4 linked regions of the Saccharomyces cerevisiae S288C genome follow. Changing the gene in region 2 together with the main gene of any one other region gives a genetic interaction. Each region holds a gene or a part of one and is shown on either strand. Other genes may lie near its edges. The genes, in order: RAD52, DBF2, CLB2 and SHE1.

The links.
Region 1: mutations in DBF2 (region 2) and RAD52 impair growth when combined (synthetic growth defect), as found in Saccharomyces cerevisiae (2 studies listed by BioGRID, with this or other methods).
Region 3: mutations in DBF2 (region 2) and CLB2 together harm fitness more than expected from each alone (negative genetic interaction), as found in Saccharomyces cerevisiae (5 studies listed by BioGRID, with this or other methods).
Region 4: mutations in DBF2 (region 2) and SHE1 together harm fitness more than expected from each alone (negative genetic interaction), as found in Saccharomyces cerevisiae (2 studies listed by BioGRID).

What each region holds. Positions count from the first base shown.
Region 1 is NC_001145.3:207,976-215,761, reverse strand, and holds RAD52 (recombinase RAD52), read left to right. Parts: upstream 1-1,831; coding exon 1,832-3,247; downstream 3,248-7,786. Other genes in the region: NDC1 (Ndc1p), read right to left, coding at 1-1,573; SRC1 (Src1p), read right to left, coding at 3,607-4,191, 4,318-6,237; AMD1 (AMP deaminase), read left to right, coding at 6,902-7,786. UniProt on the Saccharomyces cerevisiae protein: Involved in DNA double-strand break (DSB) repair and recombination. Promotes the annealing of complementary single-stranded DNA and by stimulation of the RAD51 recombinase.
Region 2 is NC_001139.9:664,034-671,964, reverse strand, and holds DBF2 (serine/threonine-protein kinase DBF2), read right to left. Parts: upstream 3,777-7,931; coding exon 2,058-3,776; downstream 1-2,057. Other genes in the region: DRN1 (Drn1p), read right to left, coding at 54-1,577; U4/U6-U5 snRNP complex subunit PRP31, read right to left, coding at 4,140-5,624; rRNA-processing protein UTP22, read right to left, coding at 5,894-7,931. UniProt on the Saccharomyces cerevisiae protein: Ser/Thr-protein kinase involved in the mitotic exit network (MEN) and required after the metaphase to anaphase cell cycle transition. Phosphorylates CHS2 to regulate its dynamics and chitin synthesis at the division site during cytokinesis.
Region 3 is NC_001148.4:767,073-774,970, forward strand, and holds CLB2 (B-type cyclin CLB2), read left to right. Parts: upstream 1-4,580; coding exon 4,581-6,056; downstream 6,057-7,898. Other genes in the region: HOB2 (Hob2p), read left to right, coding at 1-422; S-methyl-5-thioribose-1-phosphate isomerase MRI1, read left to right, coding at 680-1,915; B-type cyclin CLB5, read right to left, coding at 6,803-7,898. UniProt on the Saccharomyces cerevisiae protein: Essential for the control of the cell cycle at the G2/M (mitosis) transition. Interacts with the CDC2 protein kinase to form MPF. G2/M cyclins accumulate steadily during G2 and are abruptly destroyed at mitosis.
Region 4 is NC_001134.8:158,301-165,779, forward strand, and holds SHE1 (She1p), read left to right. Parts: upstream 1-3,398; coding exon 3,399-4,415; downstream 4,416-7,479. Other genes in the region: STU1 (Stu1p), read right to left, coding at 1-89; RIB1 (GTP cyclohydrolase II), read right to left, coding at 356-1,393; HEK2 (Hek2p), read left to right, coding at 1,884-3,029; ADP/ATP carrier protein PET9, read right to left, coding at 4,741-5,697; YBL029C-A (uncharacterized protein), read right to left, coding at 6,188-6,472.

The sequences.
Region 1 (7,786 bases), on a different chromosome or scaffold from region 2:
CACTATTTGCGTGGCATATGGGCAATGGAACCAGCTTCTCAGCTTGCCTTTTCTTGGAAATGGACCATATGTCAATTATCGAGATTTGGGCTTTGTTGGAGCCATTTGGTAATAGTCTGTAATTGTCGCTTTCATCAGATGATTGTCTTTCTGCGTAGGAAGGGAAAATAAACGACATTATAGAATTTTTCAGTTTTTTTAACATCAGACGCATAGCGGTCATAAATGTTGTTTCGTGGGTGAAAATAGAGCCGTTAAAAGTTTGTGTCGTTTCATCTAAATCGTTGTCGTAATACGAGGACCTATGCCTTTTCTTGTTTCCGCGGTTAAGCAATACACTATCGTCAGTTCTTACCCTCAGCCTGTTTGGTGATTCATCTAATAAGCCGTTATCCCGTAATGGCGCCATCATAGAGGGTCGGTTCCCAAAGAGTCTTTCGTTGGCGCTTGTTAGTTTCCCGTTCTCATACATATAATCTAGATTTTCTACTTTTTTTTTATGTCTAGCAGTTGCAGAGCCCCCAAGATCTTGTACTGATCTTAGGTACTGCACAACCTTTTCATTGTTTATCTGAATGGTCTTCAAGCATTCATTGAGGATTAATGACCAAGTATTACCACTACTGCTTCTGAACTTGGAGTGATATATTGGTGCTCGCAATGATGGATCCAGTGAAGTGGCCCTATACGCTAGTTCCTGGTAGGCAGTCAACCTAGTAAATGGCTTGTCTGCAGAAAGCCCACTAAGCAGGGTTTCCATCGGCGTCGACGACAAATTCGAAATTAGCTTGCCCTTGTGCAGACAACCTATGGACATATGTGCGTCAAATGCTATATTTATGAATTCGAAAGTGATGAAGATAATGCAGGAGATTATTAGTAAATTTGTGACAGCTAGCACGCCATTCGTAAATGAATCAAATAATCCCGATTTTTGCCTGGAAAAAAATACTGTGGTAAAGATTGGTAATACGAACATGCTGATTACACTTAGAATGACTGACTTCTCCATAATCCTCTTGACACGCTCTAATACGTAGTCTTGTGGGGCCTGGAAAAAGTTTTCGCAGTTGAACGACAATTTGTCAGCGTCAGTGACATGATGTTGTAGGTTGTAAATCGTGGGAACGACTAGCCAAATAAACAGCTTATAGTATGGCTTCCATCCAGATCCGCCACGTCCGAAAACCACACCCAGTACGAATGATAAAAGGATGCTGCCCATGCTATAGACTCCCTGGTATACAAGAAACTTTACTGATAACAATTGGCCTAGAATGAAAGTAAGTGAATTAGCGAACCCAAAATTCTTTACATGCATGTAATTTTTTCTTGTCACAATGATCAAAAGGGAAACTAGGTTAAGAGCTAAAATATTGGGAATAAATGCCAATGCCAGTTCCCATAACGGTGAGTGTGGCAACGCCAGCAGTGAAATCACCACAGTTTGGATAATAGAACATATGAAAAACAACCTCGTAACTAAATGGTTGAATCGGGTCTTGCACACGTCGCTAAAGATGGTATGGTACGTGTACCGTGGATTCAACAACTCCCTTGGCGTCTGTATCATCTGCTTGCCCTGTAATGTCCTTTCGTCTTCTCAATCACACTTACTCATCGCCAAAGAGTCTGCTCTTCCCGTTAGTGATTCTCGATGTTATTATATTCTTTAGTCTGTTAAGAAAAGACGAAAAATATAGCGGCGGGCGGGTTACGCGACCGGTATCGAATGGCGTTTTTAAGCTATTTTGCCACTGAGAATCAACAAATGCAAACAAGGAGGTTGCCAAGAACTGCTGAAGGTTCTGGTGGCTTTGGTGTGTTGTTGATGAATGAAATTATGGATATGGATGAGAAGAAGCCCGTTTTCGGTAACCATTCCGAGGACATACAGACCAAATTGGACAAGAAATTAGGACCTGAGTATATCTCCAAGAGAGTTGGGTTTGGAACAAGCAGGATTGCATACATCGAAGGTTGGAGAGTAATTAATCTTGCTAATCAAATCTTTGGATATAATGGCTGGTCTACGGAGGTAAAAAGTGTAGTTATCGATTTTTTGGATGAGCGACAGGGAAAGTTTAGCATAGGGTGTACTGCAATTGTTCGTGTTACGTTGACTAGCGGGACTTATAGGGAAGATATTGGGTATGGTACCGTGGAGAACGAAAGACGGAAACCTGCCGCTTTCGAAAGGGCCAAGAAATCTGCCGTTACGGATGCCTTGAAAAGATCTTTGAGAGGGTTTGGTAATGCTCTAGGAAATTGTCTTTACGATAAAGATTTTCTGGCAAAGATCGATAAGGTGAAGTTCGATCCGCCAGATTTTGACGAAAACAATTTGTTTAGGCCAACGGATGAAATCAGCGAAAGCTCAAGAACGAATACTTTGCATGAAAATCAAGAACAACAACAATACCCGAATAAAAGAAGGCAATTGACTAAAGTTACAAATACCAATCCCGACTCGACGAAGAACCTGGTGAAAATAGAAAATACAGTAAGTCGAGGTACCCCAATGATGGCCGCACCTGCTGAGGCTAACAGTAAAAACAGCAGTAATAAAGATACTGATCTCAAATCTCTCGATGCTTCCAAACAGGATCAAGATGACCTTCTCGATGATTCTCTTATGTTTAGCGATGATTTTCAAGACGACGACTTGATAAATATGGGCAACACAAACAGTAATGTTTTAACGACAGAGAAGGATCCCGTTGTAGCTAAGCAAAGCCCAACTGCTAGCTCAAACCCAGAGGCAGAACAAATCACCTTTGTTACAGCTAAGGCTGCAACTTCCGTACAAAATGAACGTTATATTGGTGAAGAGAGCATTTTTGATCCCAAATACCAGGCACAATCCATTAGGCACACCGTTGATCAGACTACGTCCAAGCATATTCCAGCGAGTGTGCTAAAAGACAAAACGATGACCACCGCGAGGGATTCTGTCTATGAAAAATTTGCACCAAAGGGAAAACAATTGAGCATGAAGAACAATGATAAAGAACTGGGGCCTCATATGCTAGAAGGGGCTGGGAATCAAGTACCGCGTGAAACCACACCAATTAAAACGAACGCTACAGCTTTTCCGCCTGCAGCTGCTCCACGGTTTGCGCCGCCTTCTAAGGTAGTACATCCTAATGGAAATGGTGCAGTGCCAGCCGTTCCGCAACAAAGATCGACACGAAGAGAAGTTGGAAGACCAAAGATCAATCCCCTGCATGCACGCAAGCCTACTTGAAACGCTTCCTGGCCGAAACAAATAAAAAATTTGCATCATTATTTATTACTCCAAAATCCTCTAGTTACTCTTTCAATTCTGATTTTATTTGTATTTCTTCCTATATCGTCTAGTTTTTCTTTCCTCCATGTGTCGTATTAATATTTACTTTAAATCGAATAAAAAATTCTTATTATTTTACAAGTCATTTTCAGGATTAGATTCATTATAACTTTACAAAAGTATTACATAAAGAATTATATAACAGATATTAGGATAACCGTATAAATAGAATAAACTATACAAATATGGCAACTCGGAAAAACAATAGATCATTAAGTTTGAGAAGAGAAAACTACGTTTGAGTTTCATTTTGTGGGTTATATTTTGTTTTCAGCGGAATCCTTAGGTTCATTGAGTTCCATCGGACCTATCCATTCCCAACATTTCATTATTTCACCTCGAATTTCAGTTAAGTTCGATTTAATATTACTGTTATTATGCTCTAAATATTTTACCACTTCTGACCATAATTGATTTTTGTATTTCAGATCGACAATATCAGAAAGAAAGATGTCACGCAATTGAACTATGCTCAAATACGCGTTTTCTTTCGGATCGGACATTGATTTAATCTTTTGGAATTTCAATTTTTCCATGGTTTGAGTAACGAGTTCTTCAATTCTTGCCTTCTTTCTATAATAATTCTTCAGCTTGATCTCGATTACTTTACTAATGACTATCAGTAAAAACATTAGCCATATTGGCCTTTGAAATTTTTTATACGTTTGGTAGATTTCTCTTTCAAATCGACACTTCATTCCAATGTATTTCTTGGACGTCGACCGAAAATTCCTCGTCTTGGAGATGAATTTTTCTGGAAGATGTCTCTTCTGTCTCGGAACGTCATTGGTTTTAATGATGTTGTTGGAATTTCCGCCAATGTTGTTGTCAGTGGGTGATAACTAGAGAAAATTAGGAAAAGATGTTAGTAAATAAATCAAAAACAAAAAAAAATTCAAAAAAAATTAAAACTGTTATCATATAATAACAGGTTTAATAATTTTTGTAAGATAATAAATTGTACTCACTTGCCTCCATAATATTTCTGGTTCTTCAGTTAAATCTTTGATAACTTGGATCCACAGGTCCTCAAATTCATCGTCGCGAATCCAAGGAGCTCTAGCCTCATTAAATATTTGATAGAGGGCATCTTCCGTCATACCACTCTCGATGTCGTCTTTTCCGTCACCGCATGAAATTTGTGCATTTTTGGCTCTCAGAAACTCTAAAGATTTTTCAACCACTTCGGAAACTAACTGCTGTTTTTTGTCGTCTTTAACACATTTGCCTTGTGCAGGAATAATTTCCAAAAAGTCAAGTCTAGATGGTGCTAACTTGTAATCTGGCTTACATTTAAGTTTCAAATAAGGATAACAAATACCATTGGGTGGACAAGGGATACATTTCGGTCTGTAGTCCTGCAACAAATTATCCAGTTTTTGAATAAACTCGAAGGAATTGCCACTAACTCGATGGGATGGTACTTCATGCCCACAGTAACCTATGAGCAGTCTTTGCTCTCTATACCAGAGGCCAAATAAGAGAGGAATAACAATGAATATGCAAAATAAAAATAGCGCCAGTAATGATTTGCTCAAAAATTTGAGTGCTCTTTTGAACTTATGCCTGTTCCCGACCTTCCCAGATCCTTGCTTAACATCAAATTCACTCCCATTTTCATGCTCTAATTGCTCATTTACTTCCTCTTGAAGTTCTTGCACTCTTGCTTCACACTTTTCGACGTCTTTCTCTGTGGGTAATTGGGGAGTCTCGATCCTTGTAGGCACTAAAACTTCATCTTCATCCGATACCAAGTTACTACTATCTGTATCTATCATTTCGACCACATTATTGCTGGTATTACCCATAGGCTGATGAGGACCTGGCGTGGTGATCTCTGGAAGCAAGGGTGCTTCCGACTCTGAGCCAGAGCCTTCGGACGAAAACAAAGACGGTGTTCTTTCACTCTGAGAAGGTTCTTGCTGTTCCACTTCTGGAACCAGTATTGTAGATGGTACCTCCTTTTGAGGCAATTTATCCGCAAATGAGGCAGAAACTTTTAACTTACTCAAGGGTGTGCTATGGCCTGTTCCATTGGCAGTTCCGAGCTCTTTTGGATTGTGTCGTATGTTCGGTACAAATGGATCATTTTCCGTACCGCTTGAAGTCAACGAATCGTTAAAATTATCCATGCTTACTGGCTTTCTATTTGTGTTCTTTATTGGTGTTTTGACGGAAAGTTTTCCTAAAATGGCAGAGCCATTTCCATGCTCTTGGTTCAAATCACTCGTCTTACGCTTTTTTGCCTTCTGGTAATCCTGTTCAATTTCTGAATCTGATGATAGGAGGTTCAAATGCTTATTATCGATTTTATTTTCCTTTGAATTAGATTCAGACCAGTCGTCAGAATCAGGGTCTTTCCTTTTCTTACGAGTATCGGAATTTTGCTGGAAATCATTGGTGTCTGATTTGTTGGAGCTTGATGTTATCACATCATCCTCTTCATCGTCCACTTCATCGGTATCCGTTCCACTAGGTACAATTAAAGGATCGTCTTTTTTATCATTGTCATCATCATCATCATCATCATCATCATCATCATTACTTACATCATCCAGTATTCTATTCTTCTTAAACTGTTTGGCCATGGGGGAAGCAGATTTCTCCCTGCGAGCTCGTCTACTTCTACGAGGGGAAGCTATAGATGGGGAAGATGAGGGACGGTCCATTTTCACAATACCTTCATCGCTGGGCCGAACGTTCAGATACATTTTCCGTAACTGCGGGATCTGCGGTTTAACCTTTTCATCGAACAGCCCCACCAGCGCATTTTTCCTAGCATTAGATGGGAAATCGACATTATTTTCTACCAATATCCTCCTCAAAGTCGCAACTTTCATTGAATTCGGATCAAAACCGTCCTCTAAATACTCCAAGTCACTATTCATCGCGGCACTAACTGAGTACTGCTACCGTTCTACTGTTTGTTGTTCTGGCCTCTACGTTCACTCCGTATGGTCTCAGTCTACTATTAATAATGACTGAGGACTATTTCTCTTCCATGTATTCCGCATAGTATATTGACAGCTATACAAGTAGATCGATGTCCAGATTAGCCACCACAAATTGAAACCAAAACAAAAACAAAGGGGGCTTCCTAAAACAGTAATTTTGAGGGCTCTTTAAAACCCTTGATTTCCGTTCAGGGTGATCAATATATATATCCTAGTTATTTTATAGATGCCCTAACTTTATTTTTAGGGCACGTGGGGGTCTTCTCTTTTCTTTTTTCATTCCTTTTTCATCTTTTTTTTGCGCCTGGCGATGATGAGAAAGGAGTTCTAGTAGCACAAGGTTTAAAGGATATTATCAAAAAATAGATAAATTTTAAAAAAAAAAAAAAGGCATCTCTTGACGACTTTTCTTCTCTCTCTCTACAGGCAGAATTAGCAGCGTTTCTCGTATACTAGTCAATTATCGGATATTAATAGTATTTTTATTATAGTCTCCCTGCTATAGCCAATTTTGATTCAGCAAAACTCGATTGAACTGCTAGTACGCCAGATTAATAAATTATATAACAAATAAAAAGGGGGCATTCTAAAAAAAATTATGGACAATCAGGCTACACAGAGGCTTAACGACCTTTCTCTAGAACCAGCTCCTTCACACGATGAACAAGATGGTTCAGGACTAGTCATTGACATAGATCAAAGAAAGATTGGTGATGAACAAGCTGGTGTCGTAGTGGATGATGAGACACCCCCCTTAGAGCAGCAAGATTCACACGAAAGTTTAGCTGCTGATTCTCGGAATGCTAATTTCTCGTATCACGAGAATCAGCAGTTGTTGGAAAATGGCACCAAACAGTTGGCCCTAGATGAGCATGATTCTCACTCTGCCATCTTGGAGCAACCATCGCATTCTACCAATTGTAGCTCTTCCAACATAGCAGCGATGAATAAGGGCCATGACTCGGCAGACCATGCATCTCAAAATTCCGGGGGTAAACCGAGGACCTTGTCTGCTAGTGCTCAGCATATCTTGCCAGAGACGCTCAAGTCATTTGCCGGCGCTCCGGTAGTGAATAAGCAGGTACGTACCTCTGCCTCCTATAAAATGGGAATGTTGGCTGATGATGCTTCACAGCAGTTTCTTGATGATCCCTCTTCCGAGTTGATTGACTTGTATTCCAAAGTGGCAGAGTGTAGAAATTTGAGAGCCAAATATCAGACCATATCTGTGCAAAACGATGATCAAAACCCAAAAAATAAGCCAGGCTGGGTAGTCTATCCACCACCACCTAAACCTTCATACAACTCAGACACTAAGACTGTTGTGCCAGTAACAAACAAGCCGGATGCGGAAGTTTTCGATTTTACGAAATGTGAAATTCCTGGTGAGGATCCAGATTGGGAATTTACCCTCAACGATGACGACTCGTACGTGGTACACAGATCAGGTAAGACGGATGAGTTAATTGCTCAAATCCCTACC
Region 2 (7,931 bases):
TATATATACATATATTTGGATATATTTGAAATTCTAAATGAAATAGTTTTAGTTTAGTTTTCTGTGAGAGAAATGTCATAGGTCCTGTAGGCCTTTTGAAACTTTTCAGCCTCTATAGTCTCTTGTTGCTTAGTTTGTAAACAGGTTGAAGAATTCCATTTCACCCTGCGTGGCAAGTTAAGTAAAAAGGCTAGTACACGTCGTCCAAACTGCAGATCTATTGTCTCACTGGCATTAAATGTGGCCAAATATATCTTTGGGTCCGCTTCAGGAGTCTCGTAGACGGTAAATTGTAAATAATTATTGGATTGGTTGTTAATTACATCCACATATTGTTTGGAAGAGTGTGAATCGTAACATTGGAACTCTAGCTTAGCATTTCTTGTGAATTTTTCGTTATTGAAATGAACCTGTCTATCTAAGGCACTGCAGAACTTTAGAACGAGGTATTTTGGAACGGGAATAACTTGTTTGTGGAAATGAATAGAACGTTCAGACTGTATTTCGAAGACAATCGTGCACATATCAAATTTTATGTAGTTCATCTTCACAAGACTAGCTTCATAAGCCAAAATACTCTGTGTCAACTCTGCGTTCTTGCTTGGATCTAATTTCGGAATATGTTCAATGGGAATAATGAGGCAATGGCCTGAGATATCCATATCACCCTTAGGAACACTTAAAGGTCCCTTCGCTGTGGTTAAATACACTAGTTTGCCGATTGATATTATCATATGATCCTCGAGGTTTGGATTTGAAAAGCAGAAATGACAACTTGACGGCAAAATCGTTCGAATTTTTTTATTTTCATTCTTTTCTCTATTAGCAAGTACCTGTTTGTCTCCATCGAACGAATTCTCTGTTTCTGTTTCTAGTGGCCTTTTATTGCTGTTTGTAACCACGCTATTATACGGGTTAGCTATCAAGTTGGGCGGTTCAGGTTCATCCTTTAGTTCGTTGTCCCCTATTGGCATATTGAATGCATAGGCCCATTTCTTTCCAGATCCATATTTTGGAATATTGAGGAACCTCGATAAGCGCTCTCTTTCCCACTGGAAAGGCTCTAATTCGTAAAAGTTTATTTCATCTGAAAAGGCAAAATGGTACCTTGCTTGTAACTTTTTCGCCAATTCATCAACAACTTCACTTCCAGACAACCTTCCACATCTCTCAGAGATCGAAAGGCCCCATTCTTTTGTAAGGAGAATGTCTACCTGATCCTCACTTTTGCCAAATTCGTCCAGTATGCTTTTTTTCTCCCCTTGAAGAGTATCATCCGGATAAATAAAATATGAAAGAGTGATTCCATTTGCTAATTTATAAGTACCCATATTATGCAGCAATGTTACATTTTCATTTATCTTTTTGGATTTCGAATTGTTAGCCTTATCACACGATAGTAGTATTAGTTGAGGTAACCCATCAGTATTCAGCTCAAAATTTTCATCATACGAGTTACTGAATATAATTATTAGATCAAAGGGCCCTGATTTTTCATTCACTTTCTTGATCTTTCTGATAGCCTCATCGGCATCGCTTTCACTTATATGAGCTACTAAAATCTTTGCATTTGTCATCCTATTTTTATATGTAAGTTTTTGAAGTGAAAAAGATATCAGTAAACCATAAGCCCTTTTTTATATATTATGGATCCTTCTAAGAGAGCTACCTTGCGTTTTTTGTACATCTAGCAATGTAGTATCAGTCCAATTTGTAATTATCATTGAAAAAACAATTGATGTTAACACCCATTCCTTTTCATTTTTTGCAGATTTTCGATTAATAGTGGTCATTGCTGTTTTCCTGTAAAACATTACCAAGTTTCGCCGCTCCCAACATGAATGCTTAAGTTTAGTTCAAAACGGTCATGGGATGGACCGTTACCGTGAACTGAGATTTTAAACAATGGGCTTGAAGTCCTAAGTAATGCACAACTATATATATATATATGTATATTTATGAAAAAAGCGTTCATAGGTGCTAGTTGAAAAGTTTGCATGAAGCTCGTTAAAGCTAATTATATCGCGGCGAATGCAAGACAAGAATTCATTTTTACGCTAGTAAAAGGTTGAAAAGGGGTCTGAGTGTTCCAGTCCGTTGAATAAGATGCCACTGGAACCCTGTTTACCATTTCTATGTCGGAAAGTGAACCCAACAAGTTTTGATGATACTGCCGAGTCATCTACCATAGCCGTTAATTTGTCTTGTCTTTTGAAAACATCAGCATATTTGGCCATGTCAGCCTCACTGGTGAAGTCATCAAAATAACCGGCATCAGTTTCGCTGTCTAGTTGGGGTGTAAAAGGCGGGATCATTGACCTCAAAGTACTAAAGTTTATATCTGCAAAATAAGACATGCGTTTAACATGTTCGAAGGATCTTAATCGATTGATTGGATCGGCAATCAATCTTGTTATTAAATCCCAAGTTCTATCGGAGAATGCTGCCCTCCCATCAGATTGTCTCGGTCTTCTTAAAGTTTGTTTCCAGCGCCTTAAGTTGTCATAGGTCTCATTAGTCGATGATCCACTAAATGGTGTATAACCAACTAAACTTTCGAACAGCATACAACCCAACGACCAGTAATCCACAGTAAAGTCATATTTCTTTCCTTCTAAAACCTCCAAAGCCATATAATCCGGAGACCCAACCATGGAGTTCGCATAATTAATTTCCTTCTCCCTCAACTGGTTGTACATTTTTCTTCTATCTTCTATAGATTTCTCTGTAAACGCTGGAAATTCCAGGTCCTTGATTTTTTCTAACCTTATCTTCATACTTTCAATTCTTTCATTAGAAATCGTACCAGCAGCCAAACCAAAATCTGTTAATTTTATATGTCCCTTGGCATCGATTAAGAAGTTTTCCGGCTTTAAATCTCTATGTGTATAGCCTAAATCATGTAACGCATTAACAGCGCAAAACATTTCACTGATGTAAAATCTCGCATGGCCACTTTTCAAGCATCTAGTATTTATTAATAATGTACGAAAATCACCGCCTGGTACAAATTCCATAGCCAGGTATAAACTTTGTAGGTCTTGGAATGCATACAGAAGTTTTACTAACCATTCAGACCTTGTCGTGGTTAGGATATCTCTTTCAGTTAAAACGTGTTTTGTCTCGTTGAGCTTAAACAATAGTTTTTTGTTCAAAATTTTCAAAGCACACACCTCTTTTGTGTCTTTCTTTCTGGCTAAATAAACTTGCCCATAACCACCTTGACCTACTTGTGTGATCATTTCAAAATCCCTATTTTTTGGTTTCAACCTTCTTTTTCTCAAAACCTGATGTTCCCTTTGTAAGTAAGAGGACCACTCTTCGTTGAGTTTAATCTGGTCAGAATTCGGAAGTTGGCTTTGCTGTTGCAGGTATTCTAGAACTTGCTTCGTGCGTTGTCTTCTACTAATTACATAGTCAAACATATCACAGTAATGTTCTAGAAAGTACATTTTGCAAACACTAACAACTCTCTGTGTTTTATTTGAAGTTGCTCTTTCGTAAAACTTTGGTGGAAGCTTCTTGGGAGAGTTCGAGACATCCATATCAGGTTGAGATACTTCGTCTATGTCCATGTTGGAAGTATCTTCGTAAGGAAAAAAGGATGGTTTTACCGGCGAAGGTGAATCATTGATACCCGCAGGCCTTGTCCTCCTCTTTGTTATATTTTGGTTAGGAAATAGTCCAGTGCCCCCAGGAGTCCCATGCCCATCGAAACTCAAATTGCTCATATTGCCTGCCAAGAGGTCGACATTTTTTTCTGATTTTGATAGCATATTAAAGAATTTTTCTTTAGCAAGGAATACTGTAGATGTTGCTTGAATTTTTCTGGTATATTAGTTTCTATCTTTAGCAAGGTTTCTATCTTACAATAATTTACTTGGACGAATTGCCTCCTTGTATTTATTTTTAAATAAACAACAAGCGGAGGGCTTCAACATCAAGGTAGCTTCGAATGATTTAGATTGAGGAATGAAACATGTCATTGTTTACTTTTTGAATAATTACATTTCCTAAAAAGGGCATCTGGGTTGCAGCGTGTGGTGTTTGGCTTTTTACGAAATTTATGAGCGAAAACGCTCTCGCCGGTCACTACTATATAATATCTTTTTAAATATTATCAAGTATGTAGAAGAGCCCTAACCATGACCGGAAAACCAATTGGTCTCTTCTTCTGGGTTAGTATGCTGTTTCTTGTGCATTTGAACCATCTCTGGCGACAGATTCGGTTGCTCTGTATTATGACCCAAGGAGATTAGGAATTCGTCAGCTTGCTGATTAGCCTCAGAAATCCTGTGCTTCATTACCTTTGTTAGCTTGGCTTGATTACCAGCAGATCTTCTGGAACCTGATGTAGCTCCTACTGCTTGTTGTAAAGAAGTATTAGACATACCCAAACCAACTTCTTCACCATAGGAATCAAGAACAGTTTGTTCTTGCTTGCCAAATTCCATCCTATTTTGTAATTGTCTGACATGCGATAGTCTGAATTTTTCCTTGTACTTCCTAAATTTTCTCCCAGCTCTTTTCTTTTTGGGTTGGTCCTCCGGAATAGGTAGAGCCTTCGTTTCAGAAATGCTCGGGGCTTCTGATAGCTTTCTAGCTTTCTTCGATAGTTCGGCTTTCCATTTATGAGCTAAAACTGTATTTCTATCACCGTTTTTCTGGCCAGCATCAACTCTTGCGGCTAGTGATACTTTTGCACAAAGCATCCTAAGCATTTGTTTATGGACAGAAACGGGAAATTTCTGAATCATGTCAGAAGCAAATAGATATCCTTCTTGTCGTACTCCACTCTCTAATGTATGTAACTCATGTGAGAGGTGCTTATTCTTCCCAATGGACGCAATGTTGCAACTGGGAATGCGACTGAACTCCAAAACCCCTCCAGCATGTGCTATTAATTGGGCTGCTATCTCCGGGCCTACCAAGAAACACACGTTAGGGGCAATTATTGATATCTTTGAGGCTATGTATTGACCTATATCTTCTTGTAGTTTCCATAAATTTTCCAATATGCTATTTGCTTCTAAAATTTGCGTCCTCGTTTTGATGTCCAATGGCTCTTTGTTTTTGAAAGACGTCTTCATGGACATTGTTAAAACGAGGATCTGCTCTCTGGTCAATTTTGCTTTATTTTCCAAGTGGAAAAATAGTTCATCACTTTCGTTTTTTGAATAATTTTCATTTTCCAGTATGCTTATCACTTTTGAGTATTGTAATGGTGATGGTATCAATGAAGATAGTTCTGGAAAACGTCTACTGTACAGTGAGATTAGAAAATTGTGCATTAATTTTATATTGCTCTTGATGAGGGGGATGATTTCGTTAAAAAACGGTAACAGTTTAATGAAATCTATTTCTTGTTGTTGAAGGATTCTTTTTAAATCGACAATTTTTGGTAAAATCTGTGCTGTCTCTGATAGAGATAACCTATCAGGACTGATGAGTGCCAACGTCCTGAATAATTCTATACTTTCCGGAAGAATTTCGAATGGATTGAATTTTTCTGTTTGACAATTTACCGTAGTGAGCTTTTTAGTTTGTATGTCTTCTTTTTCCTCATTAACTTCATCGGCAAGGTCATATTCGAGCTCATCGAAATAGTCCTCTTCAGAGCTCATAAGGTCTTTGTATATTTTCTGCAGCCAAAATGCTATCAAATAGTGCTAGTTGAGGCGTTCAAATCGTTTACCTAGCTTTATTCTGAGCGTCGCCACAGCAGTACTATTCAAAACTTTTAAAAATACTAAGTTAACTTGTGCCAAATCGCCGAAAGGACCACATCTAAAAAAAAGAATTAAAGAAAAATATTCTTTATGTAAACTGCCGGCTGCTTTAATTATTTAATATTATACAGATACTTCTAAAAGTTATGATTTTGTTGTTTATTCTAATCTGTCTCAAAATTTATAACCATGTCATTCCCGAATGCAGCAATCTCATGAAATATGGCTTCTTTATTTAAAATCACATTCTCATCATCCACTGGTTTAACGTTGCAATCCAAGTTTACTCTAAATTTGTGGGCTCCCTTGAAGAGTGGCTTTATTAGCCCTGTGATGACATTTTTATCTCCTTTCTCTCCACCATTCACACCTATATACTTGCGGCTTGATAAAATCAAACTATTCTTGTACTTCAAGTTCAAATACTTCACTAACTGGTATGTTGGATCCATTTTTTCACTTAAATCATTCAAATTCTCTGGAAAGTTCGATGGGGCTTGATCGTTAGTTATATTCTTGAACTCTGTGGCTGAAAGTATACCACAGGATGATTTCAAACCTATTGGTGTCCTCAAATCAACGACAAAATCGTAATCTTTTAATCCAGGCGTGAATAAAAGATTGATAGTTTGCTGGTTTAAACCGTGTGTCTGTAAAAGATTCACGGCTACTTTAGCTAATGCTGTAAGCCTTGTAGCAATGGGTAGTGGGATACCTGATGAATAAAGAATACCGCTTGGATCGTTCTTAGAGGCAACAAAAAATTGCAAATGTGTACCGTTGGGATCACTGTTCCTCAAGTTCGTGAAGTTCATTTGAATGCCCTTATATTGTGCTAGGGTTAATCTTTCAGAAAGCTTTTTCATCGTTTTGGAGTCTAGCTCTGAGCCAGCTCCAATACTTGTTTCAAATGTATCTCTTATATCATCTTCTGGTTTTACTAGATCTAAAATCAATGGATCATCTTTCCAGTTCCATTGACTTATAAACTTAAGCACTTTGAGGAAACCGTTTTCAAGAGAACCTGGAATGAAATATGGTGCAGGATCAACAAAAGGTTTAATGGCAATCAACTCTGCTAATTCGTCCGTTATATGACCTAGTAATAAATGAGTGTCCAACCATCTTTTGAATAGTCTTACCACAGGGGAGTAGAATTGATACGAATGAGATATATTCTCCAAAGTACGAGTATGTCTTACGGAAGCCAGATATTTTGCAGTAAATTTTAGGAATGTGGCCTCCAATTCTGGTTTCAACTCATTCCTAGCATTCGCTATAGCTCTTAAATAAAGGATTTCGTCACGTTCAGTTAGAACTCTGAATTTGAATCCATAACCTTCAGGTGTCAAGATGTTCAAGGTTACAATTTCTAAATTGTATGGGATGGATTCATCTCTGCTGAAAAACGACCTATAAGTTGAAGAGTTAGCGCTTAATTCTTCTTGAATTTTGAGAAGAAAAGCTGTTTTAGCCTTTTCTAAGGAAGTAATTTCATCTGGCCATTTAGGTGAGGTTTCAAATTCCAAAATGACGTCTTGAAAGAAATCTGGATCAGAGTATGCGAATGGTACTGGTTGGCATAAGGAAGTGTATCTAAATGCAGAGCCAACCGGTAAGATTGATTTTACAGAAAGCGGTAACTTCATTTGGAAAATTATTTTGTATAAATCGTCAAAGGATTTCTTTAAGTTGAAAAAGCTGCTCAAGTTCAAAACTGATGTTTTAGCACTTGAGGGTAAGTTTGGCAACGGTAGGAAATTATGAAACTTCTTGATAGTCTCATTTGATATTTGTGCCTTTTTTGAAACATGTTTCTGCAATGCAAAGTTAACAATTGAGGAAATGATGGGCTCTGATGAGGATGTAGACCAAACACAACAATGGGTGATGGAGCCATCCTTGAATCTTCTTAAGGAAGATTTAATTCCCCAAAAATTCTTAAAAACGGCTGCTTCTGTAGACATAGTTTCAGAATGAGCAGGGCCCTTGGTGACTAATTTGTCACATTCAGAGGGGTTAACAATCAATTTTACTCTTACAAAATCAAAGTTGAAATGGTTACCTCCTGTGTTAGAGTACACTTTTCTTTTGGTGATTGGAAAATCGGACTTTTGACCAACCATTTCAATTTGGATATATTTGATTCTATCGCCCAATGCATACCTTGCAACATTTGTAATCTTGTGGGCGAGGAAATTC
Region 3 (7,898 bases), on a different chromosome or scaffold from region 2:
CCGTGTGTTATAAGGGTTCACACAGCCTTTTGACCGATGTTAATAACCTGATTGTTAGAGTCCCTGTTTTAAAGTACCATAACAAACTGTGGTCGAGGGAAGAATTTTTTACTGCTTTGAAAAGAGACGTCGTAAGAATAGTTTTACAACATTTGGGAAATATTATTGGTAACAAATTTTTGCCTCATAAAAAAGAGAATAAGAAAAAAACTTCTATGGAAATACATCGATTACTAAGTCCAGATTCTCAAAATCGTGATAATTCACATATCCTTGAAGTCGAAGGGCATAATTCATTTTATAGCTCCACGCACTCTTCAGATATCAGATCAATAAACTCAGATGAAACGTATAATGAAAATGATGGAAATGGAGTAAAGCCATTTTACCCTGTTACGAGTGAGTTTTCAAAAAATAAATGAGGAAACACACACATGTGTCTAGCGTAAATATTCTTCAGTTATATAGTAATTGTATTATATACTAAAATGAAAATCAGTAAGATTTTTTTTTTACAGGCCTTCTTGGCGTTAGTTTTTCCGGTTTTTCACTTACTAAGATGAGATGATGGGGCGCACGGCCAAAGTATTCCCCATTCATCAATTTAGCATGCTAGAATAAAAAGATTAAGAGCAATATCTACGACCGACAAAGTGATCTATCAAACTGCTGACAAAAAATGTCGTTGGAAGCCATCGTCTTTGATAGATCGGAGCCAGAAAATGTTTCGGTAAAGGTACTTGATCAATTACTTTTACCATATACTACTAAATACGTTCCAATTCACACAATTGATGATGGGTACTCAGTCATCAAAAGTATGCAGGTGAGAGGTGCCCCGGCAATTGCAATTGTGGGTTCGTTATCTGTTTTGACTGAGGTACAATTAATAAAACACAACCCAACTTCTGATGTTGCTACGCTGTATTCTTTAGTTAACTGGGAATCTACAAAAACAGTGCTAAATAAGAGGCTAGATTTCCTTTTGAGTAGTAGACCCACAGCCGTTAATTTATCAAATTCTCTTGTAGAGATAAAGAACATACTGAAATCCTCAAGTGACCTAAAGGCTTTTGACGGTAGTTTATATAATTACGTCTGTGAATTGATAGATGAGGATTTGGCGAATAACATGAAAATGGGTGATAATGGAGCTAAGTATTTGATTGACGTGTTACAAAAGGACGGTTTCAAGGACGAATTTGCCGTTCTGACGATTTGTAATACTGGATCCTTAGCAACCTCTGGATATGGCACGGCTTTAGGTGTTATCCGTTCTTTGTGGAAGGATTCACTTGCTAAAACCGACAAGGCAGACTCGGGATTGGACAATGAAAAATGCCCGAGGATGGGCCATGTCTTCCCACTGGAAACTAGACCTTATAATCAAGGGTCAAGGCTAACAGCATACGAGCTAGTTTATGATAAGATTCCATCAACTTTAATTACTGATAGTTCCATCGCGTATAGAATTAGAACTAGTCCAATTCCAATCAAAGCAGCATTTGTTGGAGCTGATAGAATTGTTCGTAATGGGGATACAGCAAATAAAATTGGTACTTTACAACTTGCTGTAATTTGTAAGCAGTTCGGAATTAAGTTTTTTGTAGTAGCTCCCAAAACAACTATCGATAATGTAACCGAAACTGGCGATGACATTATTGTGGAAGAACGTAACCCTGAGGAATTCAAGGTTGTTACTGGTACAGTAATTAATCCTGAAAATGGTTCCTTGATATTGAATGAGTCAGGAGAGCCAATCACTGGAAAGGTCGGTATTGCCCCTCTTGAAATCAATGTCTGGAATCCAGCCTTCGACATTACTCCACATGAGCTTATTGACGGAATTATCACAGAAGAAGGTGTATTTACCAAAAATTCCAGTGGTGAATTTCAACTGGAAAGCCTTTTCTAGATATCATTCTAATTAGACTCTCGAAATAATTACTTTTGTACTGTAAAGGATAAAATTTCATATTGAGATGTAAGAATTATTTTTTTTTTTCATTCAATAAAAGGAACACATTAATGTATATTGTCAGAACCTTGTAAGTCCAAAACACTATAACCAACTGATACAATATGTATTGTCTTTGTTTCTGCATATTTGTAAAACGTGCAAAAAAGTAAAGAACTCCTCATAGGGGGCTCGAACCCCTGACATTTCGGTATCCTTGCTTAAGCAAATGCGCTTAAAAGCCGAACGCTCTACCAACTGAGCTAACAAGGATGAGTTCTTCGGAGCGTGTTGTATCTCAAAATGAGATATGTCAGTATGACAATACGTCATCCTGAACGTTCATAAAACACATATGAAACAACCTTATAACAAAACGAACAACATGAGACAAAACCCGTCCTTCCCTAGCTGAACTACCCAAAAGTATAAATGCCTGAACAATTAGTTTAGATCCGAGATTCCGCGTTTCCACCACTTAGTATGATTCATATTTTATATAGTATATAAGATAAGTAACATTCCGTGAATTAATCTGATAAACTGTTTTAACAACTGGTTACTTCCCTAAGACTGTTTATATTAGGATTGTCAAGACACTCCGGTATTACTCGAGCCCGTAATACAACAGAGCGTCCTTAATAAATATTTCTATAAATATTTGATGTTTACCTTCCGAAAAAGGTACATTGCCAACCTTATTTGATAAATGTGTAAACTAAGATAAGTGTTGAGATCGGATTTTGATAAAGGCATTTGTTTGGGGTGTATGAGTTGGGAAAAGAAACAACAATCATCTCTTGACCAGTTTTCCTACTACTAGTGTGTTATCATATAGCGTAAGAGTATGACATAGAGATTGAGAAACAGAAACTGAATCATAACGAACATCACAGAATTTACATTTCTACACAATTTTCAGAAAAAGTGGAGTGGTGATATATGCTTATTGTTCTACAAGTTCTCTTCATGCGTTTTTGTTTATCTATCTTATTGAATTATTATCTTCATGCATTTATACTTATTAAATTCGATGAACATTTCATATTATTTTTATATGCTTCATAATTCATGTTACTACGATCTATACAGAGTATTATCGTAATGTCTTACCTTTAGCTTGTCACTTAACACATGCACTGCATTTCGAAAAGATGCTTAAGCAAGTTTATCATAATTTGGGAGTGTTCGGTGAATTTATACAGAAAGCCCCTCCAACGTCTTATTGATAATGTATATTTAGTTCATTTACCAAAATACTATCAATTCATCAACCTCCAAGTGGTTTTGACTAAACAGCCCACAATTGACATATGTGACTGCTAAGCAGACCTTTCTTGAAGTAAATTTCAGGGAAACTAAGCTACGGCCTTTCCAAAATATGGGCAGGAACTGCTTAATCCTTTCCTTTTATTAGATAAGCACTTTAGTATTTTTGTTTTTCATGGCCTTATCCTACGTTATTGTCGTGAAAGAAATGGCAGAAATTTCTGTTGTACATAAATTACTAACTGCCTTACCTTGAAAACGGTTTTATTACAAAAATAGGGGTCAAGTGTTTTGTTATCCCTGTTGTTGTTGTTTTATAAGTCCTAATCTCGCTTGAATATCGCCCATATTCACACCCTGTTCTTGACCGTCTACTAAGGTGCCTTAGGGGGACTCAAACTTAAGATCGCCTTCTACGCGTTTTATGCTATGATCATTAGTGTTGATGCATCGGAAGTTTAAAAATTAAGTGCGAGTGCATTAGCACAGTGGAATTATTAGAATGACCACTACTCCTTCTAATCAAACACGCGGAAATAGCCGCCAAAAGACAGATTTTATTCCAAATGCGGGTAACTATTTGTATAATATGTTTACATATTGAGCCCGTTTAGGAAAGTGCAAGTTCAAGGCACTAATCAAAAAAGGAGATTTGTAAATATAGCGACCGAATCAGGAAAAGGTCAACAACGAAGTTCGCGATATGGATGAACTTCGGTGCCTGTCCCTCGAGGAAATAGCAAACTCGTTACAGCTAGCATCTCATAGCATGGGCATAGAGTTTCAGAAATTTTGCTCTTAATGGAAAATATAACCTCTTTGGGGAAAAGAGAAATAGATCCTTTCTCAAAAATTTAGAAAGGAAAAAAAATCAAAATATAATAAAATAGATTTTTTTTAGGTTAATTTTTTGCCAATTTAGCTAGACTTTTGAAAAGATCCAAAAATTTACTAAAATTGAATCTTTCTGGTATTAATTTTGTCCTATACCTCAAGAAGTAAAGTATTCTCGAATTGATACTTCTGAAAAGCGAAAGAAATATAGCTAAAGGATACTGGTTATTTATTCTTTCTTTTTTTCTTTCTTTTTGATTGAGCCAGTGTATAATAAAAACCTACTGCGAGCTATTCAATAAATTGACATAGAATATCTGTTGAAGCGGTTCTTTGATTGAGCATCTGTTTTCCTTTTGTATTTTTGTCCTTTTAGATTCTTTTAACGACATTGGAGAAATTTTAATCATTGTATAAAAACTTCATTCGCTCGTTTGTCAGAAGTTTTTTTATAACTTGCTATTTCCTTCCAAGAAGCCTTTTATTGATTACCCCCTCTCTCTCTTCATTGATCTTATAGATGTCCAACCCAATAGAAAACACAGAAAACTCACAGAATACTAGTTCATCAAGGTTTTTGAGGAATGTACAAAGGTTGGCCTTAAACAATGTAACAAATACGACATTTCAAAAGAGTAATGCGAATAATCCAGCCCTAACAAATTTCAAATCTACACTAAACTCAGTAAAGAAGGAGGGAAGTCGGATTCCTCAATTTACTAGAGAAAGCGTATCAAGATCAACAGCCGCACAAGAGGAGAAAAGAACCCTGAAAGAAAATGGTATCCAACTCCCCAAAAACAATCTTTTAGATGATAAAGAAAACCAAGACCCAAGTAGTCAGCAATTTGGTGCGCTAACTTCTATAAAGGAGGGGAGAGCTGAGCTGCCTGCAAATATAAGTTTACAAGAATCCTCCTCAGCGAAGGAGATAATCCAGCATGATCCCCTAAAAGGCGTTGGATCAAGCACTGAGGTAGTCCATAACTCGGTAGAAAACGAAAAACTTCATCCAGCTAGAAGTCAACTTCAAGTTAGAAATACCGAAAGTGAAACTGATAGTGGAAAAAAAAGACCAATTTCTACAATTGTTGAACAAGAACTGCCCAAAAAGTTTAAAGTGTGCGATGAAAATGGCAAAGAAGAATATGAATGGGAAGACCTAGATGCAGAAGATGTAAATGATCCATTCATGGTCAGCGAGTACGTCAATGATATATTCGAATATCTCCACCAACTAGAGGTCATTACTCTTCCAAAGAAGGAAGATCTCTATCAGCATAGAAATATTCATCAAAATCGAGATATCCTAGTTAATTGGTTGGTTAAAATCCATAATAAATTCGGCTTATTACCGGAGACTTTGTATCTTGCCATTAACATAATGGACAGGTTTTTAGGTAAAGAGCTAGTTCAACTGGATAAGTTACAATTGGTTGGCACATCATGCCTTTTCATTGCCTCTAAATATGAAGAGGTCTATTCTCCTAGTATAAAACATTTCGCATCAGAGACAGACGGTGCATGTACGGAAGATGAAATCAAAGAAGGGGAGAAATTCATTTTAAAGACATTGAAATTTAACCTAAATTATCCCAATCCGATGAATTTTCTGAGAAGAATTTCGAAAGCAGATGACTACGATATACAGTCTCGAACTCTTGCCAAATTCTTATTAGAGATATCATTGGTAGATTTCAGATTTATTGGGATACTACCCTCATTGTGTGCAGCAGCTGCGATGTTTATGTCGAGAAAAATGTTAGGTAAAGGTAAATGGGATGGAAATCTAATACACTATAGCGGCGGGTATACTAAAGAAGAACTTGCGCCCGTGTGTCACATGATAATGGATTATCTAGTGAGTCCAATTGTTCATGATGAATTTCATAGAAAATATCAATCTAGAAGATTTATGAAAGCTTCTATAATTTCCGTCCAATGGGCTTTAAAGGTTAGAAAAAACGGCTATGATATAATGACCTTGCATGAATGAGAAGAGGGGCAGATGCTTAAAATATCTAAAACGATAATCGATAAATGTCCATATAAAATGTATGGCTGCTTTTTAATCATTTCTTTTCACATTTCCATTTATTCTTACAAATTTCACACCCAATTTTAGCGCCTTTCATTCTGTTATTTTTAAACTGACGATAAAAAATCATTCGAAGCCTAAGATTTCCAAAATAAAACTCCATTTTTATTCTCACTAATAACACCACACCATTAATTTTAATTTTTTAATTTTAATTTCAGATTTGTACCATAAGTTTTATTCTATTTCAGTTCAACCGTTTCCGGATGCATGTAGCGAGGGTAGACAAAGAAAAGCATCAGTATCGGATGTTGATATTATGGGAAATATCATAACCTTAGTCTCTTAAAAAATGCTGCTTTCTTCTCATTTTTCATTTCTTTTAAAATTATTTCAGTATAGTTATTATAATTAACATTGGAATAACATTAATAATAATAATTTTTTAATAGTAATAATGATAATAATAATAATAAAAATAAAAGAATAAATTTAAAAACAAAAAAAATTCTAATATTAATGATGATAATAGTAGTAATACTGGTGGTATTATATATGTTGAAGTGAACACGCATATCACTATAAACTATATATACATATATATAGATAGATAGATAGATGCAAAAAATTTTTTCCTTTTAGTTCAGCAAAAAGAAAAGAAAATGTAAAGAGTATGCGAATTCATGAGCATTACTAGTACTAATCTACTTAAGATTAAATAGATTTTGAAAGTTGCTATGCATTTCGGATGTACACCACTTGAAAGTTTGGAAATAAACAGAGCCATACCTTGGTTTCTTGTACTTCAAAATCAATGAATCTAAATGAGTTTTGGAACTAGCGATGTCTTTGACTAGATCAATGCAGAGAGACTGAAACGCTTCATCGTGTATTGGATCGATACCACCACTGTAATGCTGTAGTGTTCCATTCCATAGCTCGTTCTTGTTTCTGTTGGTCATTCTTCTCGCTATATACATTGCCATTGCGCTTACGGTAGATGGAGGTAAATGAATGAATTGGTGGCAGCAGTAGGCATACTCTAAAATAAACTTACCAATATTTCTATTAACCGGATCGTAATCATCTGCCTTGGAGATCCTCCTTAGGAAATTGAGTGGGTTGGGCCAACCAATGTTGAATTCTAAGGAAGTGAGCATGAACATTTCCGCATTTTTTATGTCGTTTTTAGAAGCCGCGCCGTCAGTGATATAAGCGTATTCAGCTAGTTTGGGCAAATTTACCTCTTCAAATTTTGCCGCGATGAAAAGTGAGGTAACTGCCAATAATTGTAACTTGTTCATCGTAACTTTATTTTTAGCTAAAAATCTATCCATTAAGTTTATGGATAGGAATAACGTTTCCGGATAGCATTGAAATTTTTCGTGCACCTCTACCAGCCAATCCACTAATATTGTTCTCATGGAAGGCCTCAAATAATACTTGGACGTTTTGTCGAGTAAATAGTTGTGCGATGGTAACGTTTCTAATTCTCTTCTATATAAAAATGCAAAAATTTCAGCAGAATATTCTGCTACCATTGCAGTATCATCTTTTTCAACATAATCTAGGTCCTGCCAGCCTACTATTTCACTCACTCCTTCAGCGTCTATTCTGCGTTTTTTGTTCACTATCGAAGCAGCATCATCATCTTCTCCTTCTTCTTCTTCTTCTTCTTCTTGCTCTGCTGCCGTTCGATCGTTATATATCTGTCTTTTTTGAACGGCGCTAACAATAGGTCTAATGTTTTCTTCTCTTCGTACTTTGGCCGCCTTGCTCCCTGCTACTATTCTCTTGTTC
Region 4 (7,479 bases), on a different chromosome or scaffold from region 2:
TCCTTGAATACGGTATACAAAGGGAAGGAATCGTCTGGATGTGTATTAGTGTTGCTGTTATTATTGGTCTCATTGTTGAAGGACGACATTATTTCTGAAGAATACAAGGTCTCTCCAAAAACCCTAATAATTACCGCTAAATATGCCTGTCAATCGGATGAAGGGAAGTTTCAACCTCAAATGTAAATAAATAGATGTTTAGCGTTTTAGAATAAATAAGTAAATAATTTGATTTTCTATAAAGATGTTAATGCGCCAATACGCGCCGACGGGGTAACGCATTAAAATAACATGGTATTTTCGTTTCATTACAAAAAAAGCACTATATGTACTAATAATTATGCTACACTTGTGTTTATATTGCCAGCGTCGATGTTGATGACAACGCAGAGTTCATACGGTTTTGGTTTTGGGCTTCACTTGTCTCAGTAGGTTGAGGGTTTGTATGAAGTTTCAGAGGCTCCGTTAGTAAATGACCCATTCTTTCTATCTTGGTCCTGAGATAACCTTCTATCTCCTTGGAGTCTATGCCTTCACTGGAGTTTGTCCAGTGTATGGGTACCATAGGCACTCGTTCAACGCACTTAAGGTAAGGCGCATGATCTACCTGTTTTATCTTTTCCGGGTTATTTGTCAGCAGCCTGACATTACCGATGCCAAGATCCAGCAAAATAGCCTTACCCAGCGAGAAGTCCCTAGCATCCACGGGATGTTTCAGCATTAAGTTGGCCTGCACTGTGTCAGCACCTAAGTCTTGCAGGTTGTAGGCCTTGAGTTTCTCACCTAACCCGATGCCACGACCCTCTTGTCTTAGATACACGATAACACCATGGCCGTTTCCACCTTTGATGTTGCTTGTGGGTTCGTGGTCGCAAGCGATAAGCCTACCGGCCCTATCGAATTGTTCACCACAATCACAACGGGCGCTCCATGCGTTTTCACCGGTGTAACATTCAGAATGGATCCGTACCAGCGTGTCGTTATGGGCGTCCCATGTAGTGGCTTTGGAAGCTAATAACTCACCTGTACTATCATCAAACTCCAGAGCTAATCCGAGTCTATCGTCTTCGTCTGCCACAGTTCTGCCGGGATACAGTTTGCCAATATAAGCGCCCCTGATCATTCTATCTTGTTGCGTCTCGCACTGTCTTCTACGGAATAGCGAGCGCGACCGTATGTCTTCACCAAACACAATGGCTAGATGTTCCTTGTTGTCCCTGTTGTTACTGTAAAGATGTAAAAAGATATCCGGACCCTGTGTGGTTGGGATACGAGCTCTTGCGACACATTGTACTAGAGGCAAGCCGCCATCGCCGTTCCTGCCATCACCCGTACCACTAACCTCGTATTTGCTGCTATCCTGTTTACTGTTGTCGTAGTTATCTATGGTCATCCTGTAGGTTTGTTGTAGTTTTATGTACGCCACTTTTTGTAATGACTCAATTATTGTCCACGCCAGCACAGCAACTTCTTTATATATACTATAGCGGCGCTGGCGCTCACCCCACAAGAGCGTCCGACTAATTTCTGACAAATCGTAAAAAGAAAAAGAAAAACTCAAAGGAAAAAGAAAAAGTCTCACCCTACACAACTTGTTTTCAAAAACGGTATAGACCCTACTATTTCTGTTTTAGCCCTATGCTAAGTCTAGACATTACCCTATCCCTTTTAACGAAAGCCCTTTTGTTTTTTTTCTGTGTGTCCGGCCGCTCAGCCAAACAACAAACAAGACTATAATCTGGAGCATAAGTACCCGAGCATATATAACTACTTGGCATACGAAGTAAAAGCATATTGCTCCCCACTCCTATCGCGCGTCCCCTGTACAACAAAGCATCAACTTATCGGGTAACTTAGAGACAGCATTAGTATATATACCAGCCATGTCACAGTTCTTCGAAGCTGCTACTCCCGTTGCAATTCCCACAAACAATACCAACGGCGGCTCCAGTGATGCCGGCAGCGCCGCCACTGGCGGCGCCCCCGTTGTTGGCACCACCGCTCAACCCACCATCAATCACAGGCTTTTGCTGTCATTGAAAGAGGCTGCCAAGATCATTGGCACTAAGGGCTCCACCATCTCACGCATAAGAGCTGCAAACGCCGTCAAGATCGGTATTTCTGAAAAGGTGCCCGGTTGCTCTGACAGGATCCTGTCCTGTGCTGGGAACGTAATCAATGTGGCCAATGCCATTGGTGATATTGTTGACGTGCTTAACAAACGGAATCCCGAAAATGAGGACGCAGCTGAGGGCGAAGCGGAAGAGCACTACTACTTCCACTTTTTGAACCATATTTTACCAGCTCCCTCAAAGGACGAGATCAGAGATCTGCAGCAACTGGAGGACATCGGTTATGTGAGGCTCATTGTGGCCAATTCCCATATCTCATCGATTATCGGGAAAGCAGGCGCCACCATCAAGTCCCTGATCAATAAGCACGGCGTTAAGATCGTGGCTTCCAAGGACTTCTTACCTGCTAGCGACGAGAGAATTATCGAGATCCAGGGTTTCCCAGGATCCATCACCAATGTACTTATCGAAATTAGCGAGATCATCTTGAGTGACGTTGACGTCAGATTCAGCACAGAAAGATCTTATTTCCCTCATCTGAAAAAGTCCTCCGGTGAGCCAACTTCCCCTTCTACCTCATCTAACACTAGGATCGAATTGAAGATTCCAGAACTGTATGTAGGCGCCATTATTGGCCGTGGAATGAACAGAATTAAGAATTTGAAAACTTTCACAAAAACCAATATTGTCGTGGAAAGGAAGGATGACGATGATAAAGACGAAAATTTTAGAAAATTCATAATCACAAGTAAATTTCCTAAGAATGTCAAACTTGCTGAGTCCATGCTTTTGAAGAACCTGAATACTGAAATTGAGAAACGTGAAAACTACAAGAGAAAATTGGAAGCTGCCGAAGGAGATGCCACTGTTGTTACTGAACGCTCTGATTCTGCTTCTTTCTTGGAAGAGAAGGAAGAACCTCAAGAGAATCATGATAACAAAGAGGAGCAGTCGTAGTATATACGTGTGCGTGCGCACGTCCCACACAGACAAAACAAACTATCATCTTAACGAATAATGTTGCATCATTACTAGTTTAAACTGTATTTTTATTAAAGGGAAAAAAATGATTCAATATGTATATATTTATTCATGTATATGTATTTTGAATTAAAAAAAAACGTTTTATAAATACTCAATAAAGCCGTTGTATTTTCTTTATTACTATCGAAATTCTTGCTTTAAACATTTCGCGCATCGCCGGCTAGAGGCACAGAGAGGGAAGGGGAAAATAACATGAAAAAATCGTAAGTTTCTAGGCAATGGTATAAACAAATAAACAATAAACATGCAATTACAGCTCTAGAACACATATTATCTTCATGGATGAATGATAAACTCCAAGAAGAGCATAACGAAAAAGACACCACTTCACAAATTAATGGTTTCACGCCGCCGCATATGAGTATAGACTTTCATTCAAATAACAATAGCAATATCATCGAGACTATTGGCGTTTCCAAAAGATTAGGAAATTCTGTATTAAGTGAACTGGATTCTAGAGCTAGCTCAAAATTTGAATTTTTAAAAGATCAATCCGAACAACAATACAACGGCGACAAGAACAATGAACCAAAATCGGGCTCGTATAATATTAATGAGTTCTTCCAAGCAAAGCACGACTCTCAATTTGGCCAGATGGAGTCGCTAGACACACATTATACCCTTTTACATACGCCCAAGAGAAAGTCACAACATGCAATCCCACAGGATCGATCGGATTCGATGAAAAGGTCGAGACCGTCCCGCTCAATTCCATACACTACACCAGTGGTAAACGATATCACAAGAAGAATACGAAGATTGAAATTACGGAACTCATTGGTTAATGGTAATGACATAGTGGCTAGAGCGAGATCTATGCAAGCAAATTCTAACATTAATTCAATAAAGAACACACCATTGTCAAAGCCCAAGCCATTTATGCACAAACCAAACTTTCTAATGCCCACTACGAATTCTTTGAACAAGATCAATTCCGCTCACCGTAATACATCCTCCTCTTCGACAGCTTCATCGATACCAAGATCTAAAGTACACAGATCGATATCAATAAGAGATTTACACGCCAAAACCAAACCGGTAGAACGCACGCCAGTTGCGCAAGGAACAAATTCGCAATTGAAGAATTCAGTTTCCGTTTTTGATAGACTTTACAAGCAAACAACGTTCTCTAGGTCGACGTCTATGAACAACTTATCGTCAGGAACCTCTGCAAAATCCAAGGAACACACAAATGTAAAGACTCGGTTGGTTAAAAGTAAGACAAGTGGTTCATTGTCCAGTAACCTTAAGCAAAGTACTGCCACCGGCACAAAGAGTGATAGACCTATTTGGCGGTGATTAAGTAATAAAAAAATTGCATTTTATAAGAAACATCATGTGATGACATTTAAAAAGTGGGAAAGAATACTACTAATATAAAACTATTTACTGGATATTTAGAATTTTTTTTTTTTCTTCTTTATACGTAAAAGTTGTTCAAAAAATTTCATCGTTTTCTTTTTTTATGAATCTTTGATTCTTGTTGAAAAGAATTTCTAAAAAAATAGGAGGATAATAATATTATCAAAACAAATCGTGTCACTCATTAAACACCAAAAATCCAAAGAAGAAAAAAAGGAAAATGTGAGAAAGAATTTAGATTAAGAATCAAGCCAGATTAGACTTATTTGAACTTCTTACCAAACAAGATCATTTGCAGTTGGTCGTACATTGAGATAACACCAGCACCTGCGACACCTCTTAAGATGTTAGCACCACAACCCTTGAATAGAGAACCAACACCTTCAGCAGCAACAATCTTCCTCAAACAGTCAAAGGCACCGTCGTACTTAACAGCTTGACCGGAGGTCATCATCATTCTTCTTCTAACGGTATCCAATGGGTAAGAACATGTAGAAGCACCAGTAGTAACAACCCAACCCAACAAGAATGAAGCCAAGAATGAACCTTCCAAAGAACCAGTCAACAATAGAGGCTTCAAAGAATCGTACATACCGAAGTATAGACCTCTGTAGACAACAATACCAACGACAGAAGGTAAGAAACCTCTGTAAAGACCAGCAACACCATCAGATTTTAAGGTCTTCTTGTAGACATCGATCAAACCGTTGAATTGACGAGCACCACCCTTTTTAGAGGACTTGGAGTCAGCAGCCAATCTAGTTCTTGCATAATCCAAAGAGTAAACAAATAGTAATGACAAGGCACCAGCAGCACCACCAGATGCCAAGTTACCGGCAAACCATTTGGCGTAACCTTCTTCCTTCTTGAAACCAAACATGGCCTTGATCTTGTCCTTGAAGGCGAAATTCAAAGCTTGAGTGGGGAAATAACGGATAACGTTAGCAGTGTTACCTCTCCAGAATGAGATAACACCTTCCTGTGTAGCGGTTCTCTTGAAACAGTCTAAGATACCTGCGTATTTTCTGTCCAAAGTACCTTGTTTTAACATTTCATCTTGGTTTTGGATCAAAAGTTTAACTCTTTCGATGGGAGATGCAGCAGTTTTGGCGACAGCGGCACTGACACCACCCATTAAGAAATCAATCAAAAAGTTAGATTCCTTCTTTGGAGCTGGGGCTGGAGGTAATGGGGTTTTGACTTGGGCGTTGGAAGACATGGCTATTTGCTTATATGTATGTTAATGTATGATTCTGAAGTATAAAAGAGCACACAAAAAAGAACAACGACAAATATAAATAATATAGAGGGGCTCCTTTGACTTGTAGATGTATTGCAATGTTCCGTATAACTAACAGTGAATATATACTTTTTTGAGTGGGTTGTCGTGAAAAATTAATATTAAAAACTCAAATGGTATTTATATTGTGCGACGACGTGGGCCCGATCGACGGAGACATGTCCCCGATAATCGCACCTCACCCTCTGAGAGTGGGGCCTTCTCATTGGCCCGCGCTCTACACCAATCAGCATAGCGCATTTACCGCCTTTCGCTTGTTCTCCATTGGAAACAGTGCTCGTGCATCGTGATGTTATTTGTTACGTATGGAAAAATCGTGTCTATACTTCTGTATAATATATGTATGGTTATAGTGAACACATATATATAAATACATATATAAGAGGAAGAAAAGGAAATTATTTCGTTATCAGTTGGGCTGCTTTTGTCGTAAGTTTTGTTGTTCTTGAATGACTTTATTAAGCTGTTCGTCATTCTTAAAATCTTGTCGCCAATTGCATATGGGGCAGTGCAACTGTTTTCCCCAGAAGACCGGAACCAACGGTATAAACCAAATAGTGAAAAATTCCTTTCTTTTTATGGGGCCGACACTATAATTGTGACAATTCGGGCAATACAGGTTTTGATGTCCGGGAACGGTATCGTATGAAGAGTCGAAACTCTTCATACCACATACAATAGGTATGAATGACATGGTAATTTTTTCTTTTTGAGGTTGTGTATTAAGTTGCTTATCTGATTTCACTTTACACCAATCTTCCTTGCTGACATTTATTCCCAACTTGTTCTTCAGCCGCTTGTTTTATAACGTACATTATTGTAAAAACGGAGTAGAAAGGGAAAAAGGGAAAGGGATGGACGTGGCTAATGCGCATCTTCGTTTGTGTGTATATCCTTTGATCTTCACTACATAATTTGTTACCCGACAATGCTTTTTTTTTTTTCTCAATTTTCATCTCTTTTCTTTTTCCTCATTTCTTATGAAAATCAGTGTGACTAAAATGAGACTTCGTATTTTTTGTAGAGGCACCATACGCCGGCTCCGCCGTCACCACATTCTCCCCTGCCGGTAAAGACCGGCGCACGCGGAAAAGGCGTACATAGCGTCGGGCGGTAACGGAGTCATTCCATCGCTGATAATTACCCCTTGCAGCAAACCCAGAGCCCTATTACGAATCTAGCCCATACACCGCGTTAGAGCACTCGCCGTTTTGCTCCGGGTCGTGCCGTCGTACATGCATACGCGTCCTGCAGGCATACCATAAGCCCACATACAATCACCTGTAGAAAGAAACAAAGCTTGTGTATGTAATCAAAGCAGAAATCTGATGGGTTCGAACGACTTCGTTATAGAAATATTATCTTTGGGTCTCGTCCTGCGTTATTCCTCCTGTCTCCTGCCGCTTTGATAACCTTTTCATTCCTCCCCTTAACTTGTTATTTCGTGTTACGATATTGGGTAACTTAGTAGCGTAAATGGTAAAATGTAGGGACTCAATCTCATAGGTGGTTATGTTTTTCGTTCTCATTTTTCAAATCTGTGACTTCACAGACAAAACGCGTAGTGATTTCTTTATCTGAATGAGCCTTCGAAAAAAAAAACAACGATTTCTTATGCAGTTAGTCGGCCAGTTGGTTATTGACTATCTGTGCGATTCCCCTTCCTGCATAAAAATAAACACAATCTTAATACGCCATACG